3 linked regions of the Arabidopsis thaliana genome follow. The protein of the gene in region 3 interacts with the protein of the main gene of each other region in a pairwise test. Each region holds a gene or a part of one and is shown on either strand. Other genes may lie near its edges.

What was found.
Region 1: the proteins of SIC (region 3) and RBP45B interact in a two-hybrid assay, tested with the Arabidopsis thaliana proteins (one large-scale study listed by BioGRID).
Region 2: the proteins of SIC (region 3) and AT5G25490 interact in a two-hybrid assay, tested with the Arabidopsis thaliana proteins (one large-scale study listed by BioGRID).

The regions. Positions count from the first base shown.
Region 1 is NC_003070.9:3,911,344-3,919,763, forward strand, and holds RBP45B (RNA-binding (RRM/RBD/RNP motifs) family protein), read left to right. Parts: upstream 1-3,430; 5' UTR 3,431-3,551; coding exon 3,552-3,812; intron 3,813-4,084; coding exon 4,085-4,550; intron 4,551-5,677; coding exon 5,678-5,736; intron 5,737-5,823; coding exon 5,824-5,954; coding exon of another isoform or gene 5,955-5,958; intron 5,959-6,072; coding exon 6,073-6,169; intron 6,170-6,394; coding exon 6,395-6,598; 3' UTR 6,599-6,900; downstream 6,901-8,420. Other genes in the region: AT1G11620 (F-box and associated interaction domains-containing protein), read left to right, coding at 1-581; AT1G11630 (Tetratricopeptide repeat (TPR)-like superfamily protein), read right to left, coding at 1,825-3,042; AT1G11655 (uncharacterized protein), read left to right, coding at 7,995-8,336. UniProt on the Arabidopsis thaliana protein: Heterogeneous nuclear ribonucleoprotein (hnRNP)-protein binding the poly(A) tail of mRNA and probably involved in some steps of pre-mRNA maturation.
Region 2 is NC_003076.8:8,873,780-8,880,171, forward strand, and holds AT5G25490 (Ran BP2/NZF zinc finger-like superfamily protein), read left to right. Parts: upstream 1-2,541; 5' UTR 2,542-2,757; intron 2,758-2,853; 5' UTR 2,854-2,859; coding exon 2,860-3,281; intron 3,282-3,469; coding exon 3,470-3,560; 3' UTR 3,561-3,595; exon of another isoform or gene 3,596-3,780; 3' UTR 3,781-4,125; downstream 4,126-6,392.
Region 3 is NC_003075.7:12,655,361-12,662,430, forward strand, and holds SIC (hydroxyproline-rich glycoprotein family protein), read left to right. Parts: upstream 1-3,072; 5' UTR 3,073-3,196; exon of another isoform or gene 3,197-3,266; intron 3,267-3,361; 5' UTR 3,362-3,371; coding exon 3,372-3,684; intron 3,685-4,204; coding exon 4,205-4,851; 3' UTR 4,852-5,307; downstream 5,308-7,070. Other genes in the region: RGTA1 (RAB geranylgeranyl transferase alpha subunit 1), read right to left, coding at 1-358, 430-601, 781-961, 1,043-1,792, 1,911-2,015, 2,103-2,263, 2,353-2,515, 2,628-2,743; CER2 (HXXXD-type acyl-transferase family protein), read left to right, coding at 5,569-6,015, 6,359-7,070. UniProt on the Arabidopsis thaliana protein: Involved in miRNAs and siRNAs biogenesis and thus promotes gene silencing. Modulates auxin (IAA) transport-related developmental programs by regulating protein phosphatase 2A (PP2As)-driven auxin efflux carrier PIN proteins recycling and polarity.

The sequences.
Region 1 (8,420 bases), on a different chromosome or scaffold from region 3:
CATCAAGGGTAGAAGTCTACGCATTCAAGTCTGATTCTTGGAAGGTTGTTGTTGATACAAACTTTGGTGGATTCGATGGATTGCCATTGTCAAGTGTTTGTTTGCGAGGAACTCCTTATTGGCTAGGTTACAATAAATCTGGTAATGAACTCATGTCGATACAGAGTTTCGATTTCTCAAAAGAGAGATTTGAGCCCTTGTTTCTTCCTCCTCAATCCATTGGGTCACGTAATTTGGTAAAGTATATCTCTTTAGGGATTTTCAGAGGAGATCAACTTTCTTTGTTACTTGAATGCCACGAAACATGTAAGTTACACTTATGGGTGATGAAGAAGCAGCATTGGAGCAGGCTGATGACAGTTGATGTACCTCAAGATGCGATATATGGAAAATATTTCAGTTCCTTCATTGAGAGAAATGGTAGGCTTGCATTATTGATCAAAAGCAGGAATATTAGCATCTACATTGGGGGAGAGAATCAAGAATTCAAAAGATTTGAATACTTCACTGGTCTTGGTCCCATGCTCAGTGATTGCTGCTATATTCAGAGCTTGCTTCAGATTCCAGGCTTTTCGAGATGAGAATAAGAACAAAGAAGCTGGCTCCATTGTTTGGAACATTTTCGGTTTTTCTTTTAAGGATTTCTCAGTTTCTATCTTTGGATATTTTATGTTTTTTTTTTACTTTCAAATTCAAGAAACAGATAGGAATTACATTTTATGAGTTTGAATCTGATTTAAGTTCAACGGTTGAAGTTTACTCATTCAAATCTGATTCTTGGAAGACGGCTGTTGATAAGACCTCTAATGGTTTATATTGATAACCATAGTCGAGTGTGTGTTTACAAGGAACTCCTTATTGGATAGCTTACAATAAGTCAAATCATAAACCCGTTTCAGTACAGAGTTTTGATTTCTCAAAAGAGAGATTTGAGCCCTTGGTTCGTCCTCCTTTTTATCTTTCGAGTGAGTTATCTTATTTGATGAATAATCTTTCTTTAGGGATTTTCAGAAGAGATCAACTCTCTTTGTTACTTGAATGCGGCTTAACAAGTAACATACACTTATGGGTGAAGAAGAAGAAGAAGAAGCTGCATTGGAGCTGGCTGGTGGCAGTTGCTATAACAGATCGGCTTCCGATATATGGTTGTAGATATTTAAGTTTCTTCAATGAGAAGAATGGTAAGCTTGTGGTATTTATCGAAAGCGGGTATATTAGCATCTACATTGAGGGATATAAGCAAGATTGCCAAAAAGTTGAATACAACACTGATATGGGTCGTACACTCGGTGGTTGCTGTTATGTTCCTAGCTTGCTTTGGCTTCCGGGCTTTTCAGAGGTGGGTATAGGTAGAAGAAGAAGCTGGTTCCAGTATTTGGAATGGCTAGATATGATGCTTTTATTTTTTTGTTTTGGAGAAGAATGTAAATATCATTATAATGAAGAGTTTTGGTCTTACATAAGCTTAACCTGATGGACATTTTCATGAAGCTAACATGGTCCCATGCCAACAAAAGACATTCGAGATTCAATTCATCAGCAAGGCCATGAAGCGATTAGGCTCATCGTTTCCGATATATTGAAAAATGTTACATTCCATTTATATACAACATGTTCAAAAAAATTCAGTAAGAAAATTGATAATTCACCAGCACCAATCCTTAGAGAGATAGCTTCTTAATCTCAACGACAAGATTCTCTTCAAACTATATCCCCTTTCATTTCAATTTTGACAGATGATTTCAGCTAAACTAACCAATCTCAAAAACTTCAAATCCTCATGTCAAATCGAAGATGAATGACTTCTTCTATGTGTACCTTTGTTCACTGAGGCAAAGGCAATGCAGCTTCGACTTCATTCCACAAGTCCACATTTCTGGTAAACTTCTCTTTAACTACCGCAATGAGCTCCTTTGCTTCATCGACCTTTGAACGACTTGCTAGTCCATTAACAAGCCACTTCATGACACTAAAACTCGGAACCCAATTCTTCTCCATACTCTCTCTACAAAGGATCAAAGCTGTCTCAAAGTCCCCTCCTTTACACAAACAATGTATCAAAGTGAAGTAACATTCACTATCAGGCTTGTATCCATTACACACCATAACCTCAAACAAATTCATAGCTTCATCCAAATTCTCCTCACTGCAAAACCCATGAATCAAAAGCGAATACGTCACAGAGTTTGGTCTCATCCTACAAGACATAACCCCATCAATCAACGCCTTTGCTTCTGCAGATTTCTTCCTTTTACACAAACATTGAATCATAATGTTGTATGTAGCTACACCAACATGAACACCAAATTCATCCATCATTCTCATCACTTTCCTCACTTCATCAAACTTCTCCTCCTTGTAAAAACCATCAATCATTAAACCAAAGCTAGCAGCTGTTGGCTTTATCCATTTCCTCTCCATCTCTGCAACAATGGAGTATGATGAACTCGTTGAACCTGATTCACACAAGACTCTAATCATTCTATTGTAAGTTTCGAGATCAGGTTCAATGCCATACATCTTCGGCATTTCGAGGTAGACACGATTCGCTTCTTTGTAATCCTTAGCCATTAAACAAGCGAAAAGAAGAGCATTTAGAGACTTCACCGTCCTTGGGATCTCGTATTGCTCGAGGTTGCGAAATGTTTGTATAGATCGATCAAGCATATTCGCTCTGCCGTATAGGATAATGGCACGGACTGCGAAACTCTCGGATTTTGGATCGGGTTGGTTTTGGATGAAACCGTCGAGAAGCTGCGATACAGCGACGAAGTGTTTCTCTCTCGCTAGTGTCACCACCGCAACGGAGAAGATGATACGGTCGACGTGATAATCAGGTGAGAGTGAAGTGGATCGGCAGATTTCGAGGATTCGATCAGGATTATTCTCGGATTTGAGAAGGGAGAGAGTATCTCGGCTCTTCTTCTGCTTGCTAGTGAGAGATTTTAGTGTGAAGATAGATGAAGAAGAAGACTTCAATCGGAATTGAGTCGCTTTCTGGAGTATAAATTCCGATGTTCGAATGCGGAAGAGGAACGCCATTACTAGGGTTCATGATTTCCCCGAAGAAATGGAGACGACGGCTGAGAGAGAAGAGGTTTAAACCGGTTTAGGGGTTTGACAAAATAAAATTTTTAATTTCAATGGTTTACTTAAATCATATACATAATTCATATCATCCGTTGATTTTATGACTAGTCAGCAACTTGGACGGTTCCGATTGAATCTAGGATATTTTTTAAAAAGTTAAATAAAAAGTTAAGGATCATGTTTAAACCGGGGGTTTGAACCCGACGTGAATCGAACACGCAACCTTCTGATCTGGAGTCAGACGCGCTACCATTGCGCCACGGATCCCTTGTGATTACAAGCACCAAAGGATATTTATATAGTAAAACACATATCGTTTTATTACAAACCGCCGCCTTCTCAAAGGGTTATCAACAATCTCTCATCTTTAGCATTGTTTTGTTATCTTCTTCTTCATCACAATTTTTCTACGGTCAGAGATTCAAAAGAGTTCTTTCTCTCTATCTTATTCTCCGATCATCATGATGCAGCAGCCACCACCCGGAGGTATCCTTCCACATCACGCTCCTCCTCCTTCTGCGCAACAACAGTACGGTTACCAACAACCTTACGGGATTGCTGGAGCTGCTCCACCACCACCACAGATGTGGAATCCTCAAGCGGCGGCGCCGCCATCAGTTCAGCCTACGACCGCTGACGAGATCCGGACTCTTTGGATCGGGGACTTACAGTATTGGATGGATGAGAATTTCCTCTACGGTTGCTTTGCTCATACCGGAGAGGTAATATTCTCAGATCTCTCTGTTTTCGCTTTATCGTTCGCGCTTAATTGTTTGTTCGAAGGAGATTAAGGTTAATTTGATAAGTACTTGTTAGTGTTAATTGTTTCCTCGCTTTTATATTTGAAAGATTTGATTTTGATGTGTAAAAAGATTAACTTTAGATGTTTGAATTTTTTTTAATATGTAATCTCTTTCCGACAATGAGTTAATGAGTGTTCTGTCTAGTTATATAATGACTAGTTGGTTTAACACTATCAGTATTTATTTTGCAGATGGTTTCTGCTAAAGTGATTCGTAACAAGCAAACCGGTCAAGTTGAAGGATACGGTTTCATTGAATTCGCATCTCATGCTGCTGCTGAAAGAGTTCTACAAACATTCAACAACGCTCCTATCCCGAGCTTTCCTGATCAGCTCTTTAGACTGAACTGGGCATCATTGAGTTCAGGAGATAAACGAGACGATTCACCGGACTACACGATATTTGTCGGTGATCTGGCTGCTGATGTTACGGATTATATCTTACTTGAGACGTTCAGAGCCTCTTATCCGTCAGTGAAGGGTGCAAAGGTTGTTATTGACAGAGTCACTGGACGTACAAAAGGATATGGGTTTGTTAGGTTTTCTGATGAAAGTGAACAGATCCGTGCTATGACGGAGATGAATGGCGTTCCTTGTTCTACTAGACCTATGAGAATTGGTCCCGCTGCTAGCAAGAAAGGTGTAACTGGTCAAAGAGGTAAAGTAAAGTATATGTCACATTAGAACTGATTTGATCTTGCATTCTCTTGATTTGTGTGTTGTAGTATCTATGTGATTAGGTTGCCTTAAGTAAGAACTAGTTAACTGCCTTGTGCTAAGTATGACTCCATTACTTTTTCTAAAGCCGCATCCTACATTTACCGCTGAGGCCGCAGTCAATTCTGTTAAAAAACTTAAAAAGATAGAAATCTTATAGAACACTTGTTGTATCCTGTTTGTTTCAAAGCAGGGGAGTCAAGAGGCTCTCTATCATCTTGAGGCCTGGAACTGATATTCAGCTGAAATGGTTATCTCCTTATTGAGTGCCCATGCTTAGGTCAGTTTTAAAGTTCATGTGTTGTCCTTTATTAGCCCTTTCCTTCGATTCAGCCCTACTTTAATTTCCATTTATCTTTTCTATACAAACCTTTATTCCAGTTCTTGGTCAGTTACTTACTTTTATAAGTCGATTCTTATGTAATTACTTTTCTATTTCATTCCGCTCTACTTAAAGTTCTTATCTTTCACTTGATTTACTTATATCTTTAGTACATCAAGCTCTTTTTTACTGTTTTTGTGAGTCTAGATGATAGAAGTTCTATCCTTAAGTTATGAGATTTGGTCAGATGTGACAGTTTCTGGAGTGGCCAGAGAAATAGTCTATACATTGTTTCTAATTTTTTCAGTATTGACCTTTATAATCCTCTATATTCCTCTCTATAGGCATTTCATTTAGTTTACCACCTTTATCTACCCTTGAGTAGTCAAAAACCTTGGGTGAAATGTGATGCAAATGTAATTGTTGCTCTCTACTTGCTCGTTTTCTTGCGGTTGCAGCTCCTCAGATCCTTTCTCAATGCTTGTTGATGGAATGATCCTATACGTATAGTTTATGATTGATGTTAACATCACTGATGCCTTCTTTGAATACTATTCTCCTTTTGGAGTTTGGGCGGTGTGTTGTATATGTGTGAATGCCTTCTTTGCATTTGCTTTCATTTTGATGTGAATATCTAGATGAGGCTGCAAAAGGCTCCCTCATAGTTTTCCAATCACTTTGTTGCATGTGTAATTTACAGTGACTTACTACTTCCATTATACCTGTGTTTTTTCGTGTAAATGCAGATTCATACCAGAGCTCTGCTGCAGGGGTAACAACTGATAATGATCCAAATAACACAACTGTGGGTCTTAAGCTCCTATTATATATTTGTCCCTCTCGGTTATCTTCCAAAGCGGTTATATCTGACGCATTTTAATTTACTGTACAGGTTTTTGTTGGTGGATTAGATGCATCTGTCACGGATGATCATCTGAAGAATGTCTTTAGCCAATATGGTGAGATTGTGCATGTGAAAATACCCGCTGGAAAGCGCTGTGGATTCGTTCAGTTTTCCGAGAAGTAAGTCTGCTGCTACTACTGGAAGCTCTGTCTTTCATTTAACCCTAAAATAGTCTTTGGAATAGAATTCTAATAGTTTTTTTTATCATGTGTTTTGTGACCAACCCTCACTTTTCAGGAGCTGTGCAGAGGAAGCTCTTAGAATGCTGAATGGAGTGCAATTAGGCGGAACAACCGTCAGGCTCTCATGGGGCCGAAGTCCTTCGAACAAACAGGTAATTGATAATCTTTACATTGACATTAGATGATAGAAAGAAACAGCTCACAGTGTATCGCCTTTTGTCTAAGAACTATCGCAGCTTCTCTCACCGTGTATCGGCTTTTGTTCTAAGAACTATGTAGTCCAGGCTATTGTTTTAGATGATAGCAGAATCGCTTAAAATAGTTGAGTTCAAGTAGCTTTTTATAATCTGAAATGCTTTTTTGATATTGGTTTCCAGTCGGGGGATCCGAGCCAGTTTTACTACGGTGGGTATGGACAAGGACAGGAGCAGTATGGGTACACGATGCCTCAAGACCCTAATGCATATTACGGAGGCTACTCTGGTGGAGGATACAGCGGTGGTTACCAGCAGACACCACAGGCAGGACAGCAACCACCACAACAGCCACCACAGCAGCAACAAGTCGGGTTTAGCTACTAACCCCGAGAGTATTGCTTGAGTTAATGTCACTCTGCTTGTTGTTTGCGTACTTTGTTATGAACTTGTTTCTGCGTGCCTTGTTATGAATATTTTCCCAAACACAGTTTATTTGTCTTTGCTTTTCTCTAGGTGTGTGTTGAGTTTTTAACTCTTAATAATGTTTCTGCGATGCTTCTGTTTTTAATGTTTTCATCACCTTTTGAAAGAACGTAAGCGTTGATTATATTTTAGGGTTATGTGTTTATTTTTGAATGTTAAAAGAGTGGTCGATGAATGATAATCACCAGAGATCTTGAGCACAACTAGGCTCCAGCTTTAGAACAGTTGGAGTCTTTAGAGGTCTATGTAGAGGCAGTGTGGTATACGTCTCTCAAATCTCAAGTTGAACATTTTACATACTATGAATCTTGGAGTCATGTATGTATGGACTCATATCAACAGCTCCAAGCTTTGAAAAATATATTTAAAATAATTGTCTTGACCCGTTGTCCTAACCAAAGGACACATAATAAGGAGAATCTTGATTAATTTAGTAGATCTTGCAAATCGTTGTCTTATATCTGAGACCAAAAATTGTTGGCTCCGAAACAATATTATTATTTTCTCAAGTTCATAACGTTATAGACTTATAGCTTTTTCATAACCGAGGAAATTAGAATTCTTTCATTACAATAAAAAGAAAAGTCAGCGATTTTTCCCCTGCTAGATCAGTAATATTCCTAAATTATGTCCATTAATTGAAATCATTATTCATTAATTATAAGAAATCTATCAAAAAATTAAGAACTCAACAAAACTATTGATTAATGGTTTTTCCGACATGGACACAAAGGTTAAAACCAAATTCCACATATGTATTTTTGGGCTGCAAACTCGTAAATTAAAATGCTAAAGTAGTAAATGTTATCTTATACATGTAAGTACTATATATATATGACCTCATTTTTGCAAACAAATAAATTAAGATATTTGGACGGCAAGCTCTTAAATTTAAATGTTTACAGTCTAAGATGTTATCTTACAAATATATAAACTATATGACCTCATTTTGCATAATTAAATATGAACAATGATTTTTATATACAGGCATTAACTATAAGATTGTTAGCTGGAAAATTCATACTATCTTATATATTATCTTAATGATTTGACTTATAATTAAGTTTAATTGTCCTCTCTTTTTTTTTGGCCAAAAAGTTTAGTTTCTAATAAGAAATTACATAACTTGAGAAAAAGAAAATAAGAAACACGTATACAAGCTACAAGTTAGTGCACCAGCACTGCTCAATGCAATGACTACAAATACTTGGTCATTTCAACTCCTCTCCTCATCTCTCTCTGATCACACTACCTTCTCTTCCAAAAGTCGTCGCCGGGAAAACACAAAAAGACGAAAATGACCCTATTCAAGAGGCCATGTCTTTACTCAAAGATGGACAAGGAAGATCCAGAAGAGGTACTTAGCCGACGAGCCAAGTTCTTGATTTACAAAACACTTCAAGAAGCCGACTTGATTTCTCGGCGTGATCCTCATTCGTCGTTTATACGGCTGAAGCTTTATCTGTTGAAGGTCAAGATCGGAAAGAGGTTGGCTAAGCTACGCCGGAGTGTAGTATCCGCCGTTAGATTTGGCGGAATTCGAAAGCATTCTCATAATGGCGTGAGAGCGTTGAAGAAGATGTTCCAAGGTGGTGCAACAACTGGACTACCTAGGCCTATTTTCTCCCTTGAAGTTTGAAATTTCATTTATTTATATTTCTTGTTTTGTGTAATTTTTTTTTCTTTTGTTTCCGGAGTTTCTTTTGATCTCTATTACAAAAGT
Region 2 (6,392 bases), on a different chromosome or scaffold from region 3:
AATTATTTCTTGAATCATTCAGCAATTTTATCAGATAAAATCATGTATTACTTCTTGTATCATTCAACACTTTCATCAGCAGCAGCTACATCTTCAACTTAGTCCTGTAATTTATTTTCTTAACATACAATTGAATTCAGCTAATCGTCCTTGCGAATGATCAAATGCATAGATAATTGTATCATCCTAAATAAAAGACGTGGGGAAATCATATGACATCTAGAACTTTGGAGAAGGGGGAGATAAGTGATGATGCATGGAAGCATTTCCCAAAGATAATCGAATAGATTCTCTCTTTTCTTTTGTGTTCGTCAGTTTTTCTTTACCATTCCCCGAGACAATATGGTGGGTTTATTAATTATTTTGATTCTTCTATAATTCTTCCCATTATTTTTATATATTCTTTTTAAGTTACCCATTCTTTTTTCTTCAATGTCGAGACGTCGAGTTAGTTAGCTTTTACGGCGACTTATGGATAAGGCATTACGCTCGGAGCCATGGACTGAGTTGGATAGATATAATGCGTATAATATTTAATCCCCATAACCTATATTTTAATTCCTATACATTGTAATGGTAGCATCTCAACTTTAAGGTTAGAGTTGGAACCTTAAAGTTTATGAATATTACAAAACACTTGTATGGGGGTGGAGTGCATGAAAATTAGAGCTGGGATGTATATATGGGAATATATATGCACTACATTATCTTACATTTTACATTGAAAAAATATTAGAAGATATTGTTCTTCATTTATTTAAGTATATTTTTACTGCTGGTGTATTCTACTGCCCTATATATATCTCGAAAGTTAAATAAATTCATATGTTATATAACTTTTAGTCATTCGTGGCATTCTTCTGTTACATCTTACTGTGGATTTTTCGTCTTATTATCTTATAGCTGACTCTTACTTTAGAGAGACAAGTATACCACAATGGAAAGGGTGATTTGACGGTAAAAAAAGCGATTGCAGTGTACCCACAAACGACAATTTATAATTTGTATGTGGGATATATAGTAAGGGAAATAAAAATCATAGGGTTAAATAGAAAAAGTGAATGAAACTGTCTTGTAGTTGTAGTAGACGAATCAAAAGGACACGTAGATGGTCAAGATACGAACCTCAAAGCCTTTTCCCTCCCATTTAATGATTCTTGTTTTTGTTTTAATCTATAATTTTTCATGATTTTCTTAAGTCTTTGTTTTGAAAATCACGAACGAATAAGTTCTGATGGATGTACTTGAATATTAGTAACAAGACTAATTGAATTAAAGAAAAGAGAAGTTATTCCTTTGACGTTTATAATTTTCCGCGGCTAAGGGAACATATACGTTCCTTGAAACTGTTGCCATGCAACTTTTGCTTTAACAGTTTAGAGAGTTTTTTACTTCATGCTACATCCTTTTTCTCCTGACACACACAAGAGCATATTATACATCCATGTACCTCCTCCATCGACCATCAATATATAGATACATGTGATTATTAATTATCTACATAAAAAGTTATACCACGAAGTTGCGATTGATAATATGAAAGTGGTACATGCTCGAAATAGATAATGAGAATATATCAGCTTTAGTTGTCTCATCGTTAGTCAATCTATATGTGCATATACAGTTAACAAGAAATCTATAAGCATATACGAACTGGGGTCCCAATAAGGTCTAAGAATCTTTTTTTTCTTTTTTTCTTTTCTTTGCTTTGCTTTAGTTTAGTTTGTGAAATTTAGTGAAAATTTCATTTTGTCTCATAGAGAAACCACATGTTAGTCAAAAATTATATAGTAAGTCCAAGAAAACTATATTAATATACCCATATTACCATATAGTCGGAGATTTCTAGTATCTCTAGTTTAGTTCTTCTTATTCATTATCAATTCAAGTGTTATAAAACCTCGAGACCAATAAAATAGGATTCACTCTCCTTCGTGCCCCCAAAGATATAGGTTTACATATCTATATTTCCACACCACCATTTTAAAAGCAAGAGTTAATTAAAGAGATATTTTTTAGTCATCTTGGTATGTAATCTGGTAAACTTTTTAGTTTGTTATCTTGTATAAACAACCAGTAAGATTTTGGTTCTTTTGTAAATACTTCTCTTTGAATTTAGGACTAGTGTTTTAAAATTACTTTCCTCCCATATTTTTGTTTTGATCTTTCAATTTAAATTAAAAGTTCGTTTACAACCCATGCATGCACACTTCCGAATTTAAACTCGGATTATAATTTGGCACTATAATAATCTATTAGAATACGTCTTGATTAATTTTAAAATATTTAGGTGTCTTAAAATAAGTACGTACGTTGATAAATATGGAGATATATACATCTGTCAAGTAAATGGTATTGAATTTGCCAGTATTAGCTTTTGTGAAGCTGACGCAAAATGAAAACGGCTGATATCTAAAGCTTTAACCTTGTGTTTCTTTTTTTTGTTTAAAATAGTGGGGTCTAGAAATGATAAATTAATTTAAAGTCCTCGATATATATAAATAGATAAATTTGTTTCTTTTGGGAATAACGTAGTTTACGGAGAAACCCAAATGTTAAAGGGAAATGCATTAAAGCTGTAGCAAAATAAGAAAGTAAAAACCAATTGAAACCCTAATTTCACTTCAAAAAATGTTCCCGGTTGTTAAAGGAAGGGCCTTTTGCTTTGTCCATATAAATATATTGTGAGAGTACAACAACACCTTCATAAGCTCTTACACTCATTTCAACTCTCTTTTTCGTTTCCATTACCCTCAGGTAATCATAACATATATATAAGTTACATTTGTAGATACATATGTCTTTAGTTTTGTGTAATTTGTTACTTAATTATTATTTTCTATGGTGTTGTAGAAGAAGATGAATAGGCCGGGAGATTGGAACTGCAGATTGTGTAGCCACCTCAACTTCCAGAGGAGGGATTCATGCCAACGTTGTAGAGAGCCTAGACCGGGCGGGATCAGTACCGATTTACTCAGCGGTTTTGGTGGCCGTCCGGTTAGTAGCTCCTTCGGTTTCAACACCGGGCCCGATGTGCGACCCGGGGATTGGTATTGCAACCTTGGGGATTGTGGGACACATAATTTTGCCAATAGGTCCAGTTGTTTCAAGTGTGGTGCCGCAAAAGATGAGTTTTCATGCTCAAGTGCTGCTGCAACAACCGGGTTTATGGACATGAATGTTGGTCCGAGACGTGGCCTTTTTGGTTTTGGCGGCAGCAGTAGTGGTGGTGGTGGTACGGGCCGTTCTCCTTGGAAATCTGGAGATTGGATTTGCCCAAGGTACTTTTTTGTTTGATTGTTTCTATGTATTGATGTTATTTTTTTGCAATAATATGTTTTGATGGTTAAAACTTAAAGCCAAAAAAGAAACATGCATGCTGGCTTACGTAAGCTAAACACGACCGTTTAAATTGTATTAATGTATATGCATATCGTAGAAACTGATTGGTTTAATTTGTATATTATAGGTCAGGCTGTAACGAACATAACTTCGCAAGCAGGTCAGAGTGTTTCAGGTGTAACGCACCAAAGGAACTTGCCACCGAACCACCCTATTAGTCATTTAGTCCTCCTACCTTCTTCATCATTTCCAAGTACTTTTCGTTTCAACAATAGTCTTAACTTCTGATCAGAAACAGTTCGACATATATATTTGGATGATAGAATTTGTTAACATTTACAACTTTATTATATCGTAAAAGTTTAAATAGTAGTGTGAAATACACTAACGATAGTACTTTAACGTTAACGTACGTATCTTTTTGATTATTTTTTTTAGTACTCTGGAAGCATTAGAGGAGAGCAGAAAGGTGAAGAATCGAAGCAAGATACCGACCGCCCTTAATCTCTTGATTTGTTTAATTTCTTAGATTTGACTCGTTTTATATCTCGTAGTAGTCAGACCTATGTTAGAATGTAAGCATGTCGAGAGTTTTCCGAAGCATTTTGTTCTGATATCGGTCTCCTAGCTAGTATGTAAGTTTGTTTGAATGTATTCTTATTTCTGATAAAGTTGTTTCCTTCTGATTCCGCAATCACGATTCTCATCTAAGTTTGAAACACTTGAGTTGTTGAACGTACGAGAGGCTGAGAGCTGTTGAGAACTTCTTCTGTGGCCGCAAATCCAAATTGCATGCAAATGTTATTATATATGCAATTAAAATTTTGTTATATAATTTGTAGTAGGAATGTAGTTTTACGTTAAACCAAACACAAACTCTAGTAACCGTTTGAAATGGGTAGATGCATGGACCACAACGAAACCTTTTGTCCAATGCCTCAAAAAAAAATATGCATGAGCATTCATATTATGATGTGGCTTGGTGATAATGAGCTTACCACCAAATCGAATGAAAATGTATGAGTTCCACTCTAAAATGAGAATAGTTATCAGAAAATATTAATTATGTTATATATCATTAATTAGTTTAGAATTCTAATTTATTTTCTTGGTAACATTAAGTTGCAAAATTAATTTTAATTAAATACAAATACGGATTTCACTATATATTAAATTGCGTATTCAAGGCCATCTTTTCGCACATACATTCGAGCAGTCGAACAAAACCCATAAGAAGATTTTTGCAATGAAGTTTTGTCATAAACAACAATATTGCAACTGATCGATGACCGTTTCCTTAATTGTTTGTAATGGGTGGTATACTTAAAAATTTGTTTTCAAAATGTAAGTAAGAAAGAAAAAAATCAGTAACGCATTTTTCATATTTACCATTCAACTTTTGATCCTGCTTATTTTTGTACTGTTTGTTCCGTCTCGCAGTACTAATTAGAACTACACTTTTTTTGGTCAAAACACTAACTACATTTTTTTTGCTTGATCTACTACTCAATATATTTTTGTTTTTATCGCTCGTTCTATACTGCCACGTACGATTGAGACTCTAAAATAGAGCAAGCGTACGTTGGTACGTGTCCACACACACGTTGCATTTTGCATAGGATTCCAATTTACTGAACTCATGGAAGTGTAGTTAAGATTATCATCAACGGGTCAAAAAAAAAAAAGACAACCAGTCTTTAATGTCTGCTACTATAATCCATTGCTTAGCTTTTATTTTTTCGTTAAAGGGTTGCACTAATTGGCTTTTTACTAAAGAATCTTTCGTTTTTCCCCCACTTTGAAGTCAATTCATCATTTGATTCTTCTTTGGTTTTAGTGAAGTGAAAGTACGTCTTAGGTATGATTATCATGCATGCATCATAGTGAACGTCTTCCCACTTTGAATTTCAAAACTATCAATTATTAGATTCGATTTAGATATGAATATATAATAATAGTATTTCAAAATGCATAAATTAGGTTGTGAATTGTAGACGATAAAATACAACCAGCTTAGTAATCTTCTTCTAATTATCAAATATATAGCATAATTCCTAAATCATATGTTTATTCTCATTAACTAACATAGTAGGTAATTCTGTTCATATGATTTAGCTAAATGCACGGTTTCATAATCACCTAAAGATCCATAAGCAATCATCAAATTACAATTAGTGTCAAACTAAGCACTACTTAAAATTCAGTGTTGGCGGAGAATAATATAAGACACATCTAATTACAATGGTAAGGATAGATGTGTGCAACAGTGCAAGTATATGTATAGCTTTAATCATAACTTATTAGTGTTTCTTTTAATGAGCAAATGAGAGAGACTTGTCGATGACCAATCTAAGTAAAGTGTACATCACTTGTTAAATAAACAAATATATTCTTACTGTTAAAGTCAATTTTTATAACAAAAGCAATAGCAAAGATAACTTTTTATCCATTTCAAAAACACCCTTACACAACGCTAATAAATTCTTAAATTTTGGGAAAAATTGCGGTAACTTTTATAAAAGTTTTAAAATTTATCTTTAACCCACATAAAAAAGCAAAGCATGTTCATCTTTCTAAGCCCTTTTTTTCTTAGCCCTTCTTTCTTTTGTTTCACATTTCCACATTCTTCCTAATAATTTCTATCTTTATGCAAAGCACACAATTGACATGGATGGAGCATATGCATATGTATTTGATGAAAACTTATTTTCTGGTACAGTATAATTCCACCAGAAAATTGAAGCCTCCACACGAATATTGTTTTTTTTTTTTTCTTTTTTTTTTACAAGATGTGATATACATAATGATTTAAATTTGATTGGTGACACGTTAACGACACTAAGACAGATTGTGAGTTTCCACGTGAGTTTGTTATCAAAGTATTTGTTTAACATTTGAGGACTCAAGATTCATATTCTAACATTATCAAATACTATTTTCTTACATAAAATGAAAATATCACCTATTGTTCAATTAGGAAAAAAAAATTGAAGGAAAAAGAAGATAATTTAAAATACTTTTAAGTTGGAATGCATGTAGATTAAGATTAT
Region 3 (7,070 bases):
CATACAAGCTTTGGGACAACCTGGAGGACAAAAGAGCTGAATTCCTCCCCTGCAATTTCATTTCCTGCTATATCTAACTGTTTCAGATTCAAATCTGTTAACACGCAATACGCATCCCAGTACTTCGTAACCAATCCAGGATTCTGTTTTCCTACATCATCCTGACCCAACTCTGAATTAGAGAGCGGTGAAGAACAAAGGTATCTAGTTGTGTCCACTGAGTGCTTGCCAATGTGGTTATGTGAAACATCCAACACTTTCAGCTGCTTCACATGTCTTAGAGAGTCCAGCGCTGAAAAACTCCGGATTCTGTTGTGACTCAGATTTAGACAAGAGAGAAGTTGCATTGCCTCCAATCCTGCAAGACCAACATACACCATTTAGTCACATTTACCACACAGATGCAACATCTGAAATCGAGAAACTTACCTTCAGTGGAATGAAGCTCATTGTGACTAAGGTCTAACATTTGGACAAACAGCAACTTCTCAACAGAGGCTATCCGAGATAGTGATAAGTTATTTAGCCGTAGACATACAAGATTGTTCATATCCCTATATCGCAAAAGGTGTCTTGACAAAGATTCACTGCTTGAAGTCACCTGCATGAACATTCTCTTTATGAGTAGTAGGCATGATGAAACAGAATTAAGGAAAAAATCTAGAATCGAACAATCAACTTTATACTGTAGACGAGAATCGGGGAAAATCATAACTCCGATGAAAATTTTAATAGCAAAAGTTTAACATAAGATTCACAGCAACAAGGAAGACTAAGTACCTTGTGGAGAAAAGCTTTGCTGTGCTCATCCTTGTAGTACTGGTAGTGTGAAGAATCCAGCGCCATCAAATCGTTATACAGCTGAAGGATTTCTTCATAGTGAACACCCTTGACAGCATCATCCGATACCATAGCTTCACGAGCCATCAAAAGCCTTGCAAGAGTGAGCTTTCCAATTTTGCTATAAAGGAAAAAATAACACAACGTTTAAGACTACAATTTCTCTTTCCAATCAAAGAGAGAAAGTATATAGGATATATACCTGTCAGGCAGTATACCGAAACATTCAACCTCAGAATCTATAGCTTCCTGACGCCATTTAAAATCCATCTCAGCATTTAACCGATCCAAGGTGACAAGAGAATTCAAATCCTTTGACTTCGCATCCCAAATATCAAATCCATCCGTCCATGAAACAATGCCTTCTTGAGAATCTTCGACGGTATCATGAACATGGGCTGTAAAGACAAACTCATAAGGTGCGTTGAAGTTATATCCTCTGGAAGAAACGATTCCTGGAGAGTTCCCAACTCTGATCTTCACTTTGTATTCGCAAGGATCTGAACTGACATATTTCAGACGAGCAACCCATACACAGGACACCTGAGAATTTTTGTTCGGAATTGGTTCCCAAACAAGGCCCTCGTTTCCTTTTAGTTCAGAATCAATTGTAACAGTAGATGAGCTTACTCCACCAACAGCTTGGTCAAAGTAGAGAATCAGTGGAAAAGAACCCGACTCAGAACAAAAAGTAGTGAACATAGATGAAGAGCCACTCAAGCACCCAGCTCCAGACAGAATGATACTTGAACCATGTGAAGGCCATGAGGAAGTGAGAAGAGGAGTCTCCACATTAAGAGTTTGGTCAAGAAGCCAAAGATGATAAAACCAGCCACTTTGGTCATCTGGTTCCGTAAAAATAGCCGAATGTACAAAGTCATATTCCTCAGGAATCTTTATATTTGGCATAAACCCATCAGCATTTTGTGCCAACAAACTTGATAGAAGTACACTGCAGAATGTGAACAAAAATATATAGTAAAGAATATGCATACCTACGATTATGCTAAAAAACTATTTCTGAACATGTAAATCAGTAAAGTATAATATATACTAAAGAATATGCATACCTACGATTATGCCATGCAGAATAGTTGCTGAAATTGTTATTGATCATATCATCTGTATACTGCAACTCATCCTGTTCTGATCTGTTGGTTAGCTCTACAACAAACCTGGAAAGGAACAACACATTAATATGCAAGCTTGATTAACATACACAATGCTCCTTTCAAAAAGTGTTGACATTCCCTAATTTTCACCTGCGATAGTTCCAAGCATGAAAATTTCTGGAATCCAGCTTCTGGAATTTTTCCAAAAGTCTCAATTCATTCCCTACGGATGAATGCCCTTTACTCAAAACCCACTTTCGATGATGCCAAGCACCATAGGACTTGAAATTCTGCCTCAAAGCACTTTCTACCTGAATTTAGAACCGACTTCACAGTAACTAATAAGCAACTACTTTCATAAAGAGCAAATTCGTTTCTTTTAATTGACAGGATAACTCACCACTCTGAGTTCTTCATCAAGAATTGCGCTGACCAAGTTTGGATCAGGCTCAATTCTGGCAAGGCGATCCTCCACAGCAAGCTTCCGGTAGTTCCATGCGGTGTACGCCTCCGGATTGATTTCTAGAAGCTTCGTGCTTAACTCAATAGCTTCATTGGTATAACTAGAAACCAAAAAAGCAACAAATGATTAGTAAATAAACAAAGGATCCTTCAAATCGTACTAAAAATCTGGGAAGTACACTGATCCGATGGAAATGAAGGAGAAGATTGTACATTTTATCGTGATGATTCGTCATAAACTGAGACTGGAGAGAGCGAAGCTGAACAGCTTTAGCAGCTGAAGCTGCTTCCTCTTCTGGCTTAGAAGCATTCCTTGGACGACCGTGCATTCTTCTCCGACGACTGTGAGAGATGCGACAGTGTGATTCAACTTTTCCGGTTAAATCTGATCAGAAATTACGAAAACAGTTAAAACAAACACTAGATCGAGGAAAGAAAAAACGTGATCCAAATCTAGAAACAACAGAGATGACGAAATGGAGAATAAGAAGCAGATCACCTGAAAGGAGCACGTTGCGGCGTCGATCGAGAGAGAGAGACTTTTGTTTTCGGGCAATTGAGCGACTGAGAGAAGGTTCTATCGGAAAATTTAATGGGCCGGTTTAATGATTTCAATCGCTTAAACCAGTAAACCGGGTTTAATTGAAAAATACGGTCGAACACTAACCCGGTTTTGGAAGTCTTCGTTTATGTAGTGAAAGGCTTCGTCATCATCGTTGTTTCACAGTTGAAGGTTTTCACGAGAAAGTGAAGATTTTTGGAGAAACCATACTTTTGTGAAGGTTCGTTTCACCTTCAATTTCGTTTTTCCAATTTGGGTATCCGATAATTGTAAGAATTTGGGGTTTTAAGGTCAGATTGATTATGTATCTAATGCTTTTACATTGTAGTAGCTCGTGTTTTGGATTTTGAAGGATTGATTTCTAAATTTCCTTTTGATCTTGTAGTTGAATCACAATGGAAGATTCAGAGAAAAGAAAACAGATGTTAAAAGCAATGCGAATGGAAGCTGCAGCGCAGAATGATGATGATGCTACTACAGGTACTGAAACATCTATGAGCACAGGTCACCTCTCCAATCCATTGGCAGAGACATCCAATCACCAGCAGGATTCATTTGAAACGCAAAGGTTTGATTATTATACCGATCCCATGGCTGCTTATTCTAGTTTCAAGAAAAACAAGACCCCTAAGCAACAATACATCTCATCTCCTAGTCATCAAGGAAGCTCTCCTGTACCACCTCAGTTTCCACCATCAGTTCCTCCAGGTGCTTGTTTCTGCCTTGATAGTCAATGACTCTGTCTTAATTTTTGTTTTGTCTATATTCTTGTGAGGCCAAAGAAAGTAGTCCACTGATAAAGAAGATTGCCTAATATCATGAGAGTTTAACTTACAGTATGTTAGTTGGTCCTTGGTGAGTATAGGTATAGGATTGAACAGAATCAGGAATTCACTTTGGTATTTGGTTGTTGGGCTTTCGTAGAGTTAGGTGATGATTCTCTTCTACAAATCTATATGAAATTTTTGTTCTTTGTTTGGGTTTAGTCATGTGTTCTTGATTATAATCTACAAATCAAGATCAATGGAGGAAGAAATTTGTCTCTCAGTCTCAGGCTTCAAACTTATTAGCTTTAGCTACTTTAATTTGATATATCTCTTTAAGTTTCACTTTCTAGGAATTGACAGTATGAAAATCACATCAATTATGGAATTCAGTTAGGTTTGTGTCCTGTGCCTTGCAATGAACAGTAATCCAGTTCTGATCCTTGCATTATAACTTTGAACAGGATCATTATGTAGTGAGTATCAGGCACAGACCAATCATGGTGGCTTTCATGCAGCTCATTATGAACCAAGAGGGATGGCACATCTTTCACCCTCACACAGAGGTCCACCCGCCGGTTGGAATAACAACTTTAGGCCTCCACCAGTTAACCATTCAGGTCCACCTCAATGGGTACCTCGCCCTTTTCCATTCTCTCAAGAAATGCCGAACATGGGGAATAATAGATTTGGTGGTCGAGGCAGCTACAACAATACTCCTCCACAGTTTTCCAATTATGGACGACAAAATGCAAACTGGGGTGGAAACACGTATCCTAACTCAGGAAGAGGCAGAAGTCGAGGACGCGGTATGAACACAAGCTTTGGGAGAGATGGAGGAAGAAGACCCATGGAACCAGGGGCAGAACGATTTTACTCCAACTCTATGGCTGAAGATCCATGGAAGCATCTTAAGCCAGTCTTATGGAAGAATTGCTCAGATGCTTCGAGCAGCAGCTCAACAGGTCAAGCCTGGCTTCCCAAGTCTATAGCACCAAAAAAATCTGTGACCTCAGAAGCTACCCACAAAACTAGCAGTAATCAGCAGAGCCTTGCTGAGTACCTTGCTGCTTCTCTAGATGGTGCTACATGCGATGAGTCAAGCAATTAATCAGGACAACTGGCCTAGTGAAAATACACCAAGTCCAAGCATCTGAGGTACCTGGAAAGATCACCGTTGACTCTTTCGAACTAGGTATTGTTCAGTGACTTGTGTTTATTTTCTTAACAAGACACAACAGCGAATGATGAACATCTCTGAGGGCGCAATTAGGAGTAGATTGGTTGGCAATAGGGATGTTCTCTACCAAAAATTTTACTGTTTTTTCGCAAGATTTAGTTATCGTACAATTATGTAAAATCATTATCAGGAAATTTGTTGCATGATTGTGTTTGAGGTGGAAATGAACCGCATCCGTATTAAGATCATTTTTGCTGGTGGAAACAATGTTACCAGGAAACTGAACTTGGTTTTTTATAGATTAATGTGACTTGTTAGGTACCGTAATATAATACTAGTTGGCTACGACACGTACATGTGCGTTTATTGCTTGAAGCCAATAAGGACAAGGTGGACGTAATAAAGTGTGCTTGTTGTTGGATGGATCTGAATATGATGACTCAACTGTCCAACTCTAATGTTGTTGCTAAAGACCCAAATCCCACCCACATTTAATGTTGCCGTCACGGAAACAGTTTTCCCAACTGTCCTAAATCAGTGATACCCATGCCTATTCTGAACTCAACTCTCTTTCGAAACTCAATCCTTATATAACACATCCCATTTAAGCCTATAAGCTACACATATCAGCTCTCTCACAAAAATAAAATGGAGGGAAGCCCAGTGACCAGTGTCAGGCTCTCTTCGGTGGTGCCTGCTTCTGTGGTAGGTGAGAACAAGCCACGACAGCTCACACCCATGGACTTAGCCATGAAGCTCCACTACGTCCGAGCCGTCTACTTCTTCAAGGGTGCACGTGACTTCACTGTCGCCGACGTGAAGAACACCATGTTTACTCTACAGTCTCTACTCCAATCTTATCACCACGTCTCAGGTCGGATCCGGATGTCCGACAACGACAACGACACTTCAGCTGCAGCCATACCTTACATTCGCTGCAACGACAGTGGCATACGCGTGGTCGAGGCCAACGTCGAAGAGTTCACAGTGGAGAAGTGGCTCGAGTTGGACGACCGTTCCATTGACCACCGATTCCTTGTCTACGATCACGTTCTTGGTCCTGATCTTACCTTCTCGCCACTCGTTTTCCTCCAGGTAAACACACATACACAAATTTTAGTATAATATAATGGATTATTTAAGTTCACATGCAACGAAAACGGCTGATTCTCCCACGAACTTAGTTTCTTTCTTAGTTACTAACTATCAAACATTCGTTTCAAATTCTTTCCAATCATTAGCTTAATTAATAATTATGAAATGAATATTTAATATAACCGTGGAACTTGAAGAGAAAATATTTTTTACATGTGAAATTGATTCTTCACTATATATGATCAGGTTAGATTCTGTGTGTGTGTGTGTGTGTGTTTTTTTTTTGTCCAAATCAGGCTAGCTAGAGTAAACTAAATTTTTTACTTTGAAATTCGTTTTTCAGATAACTCAGTTTAAATGTGGTGGGCTCTGTATTGGGTTGAGTTGGGCCCATATTCTTGGAGACGTGTTTTCAGCATCAACGTTCATGAAAACACTTGGACAGCTGGTATCGGGTCATGCCCCAACAAAACCGGTTTACCCGAAAACCCCCGAACTAACCTCTCATGCTCGTAATGATGGTGAAGCTATTTCCATTGAAAAGATAGATTCGGTTGGCGAGTATTGGTTACTTACCAATAAATGCAAGATGGGGAGACACATTTTTAATTTTAGCCTCAACCACATTGATAGCTTGATGGCCAAGTACACCACGCGAGACCAACCTTTCTCGGAGGTTGATATTTTGTATGCATTGATATGGAAGTCGCTACTGAATATCCGCGGCGAAACAAACACGAATGTTATAACAATTTGTGACCGTAAAAAGTCTTCAACCTGTTGGAACGAGGACTTGGTAATAAGCGTAGTGGAAAAGAATGACGAAATGGTTGGGATATCCGAACTAGCTGCACTGATTGCTGGTGAAAAAAGAGAAGAAAACGGTGCGATCAAGAGGATGATAGAACAAGATAAAGGCTCTTCGGATTTTTTCACGTACGGTGCAAATTTAACGTTTGTGAATCTTGATGAAATAGATATGTATGAACTTGAGATCAACGGAGGGAAGCCGGATTTCGTAAACTACACGATTCATGGGGTCGGAGACAAAGGTG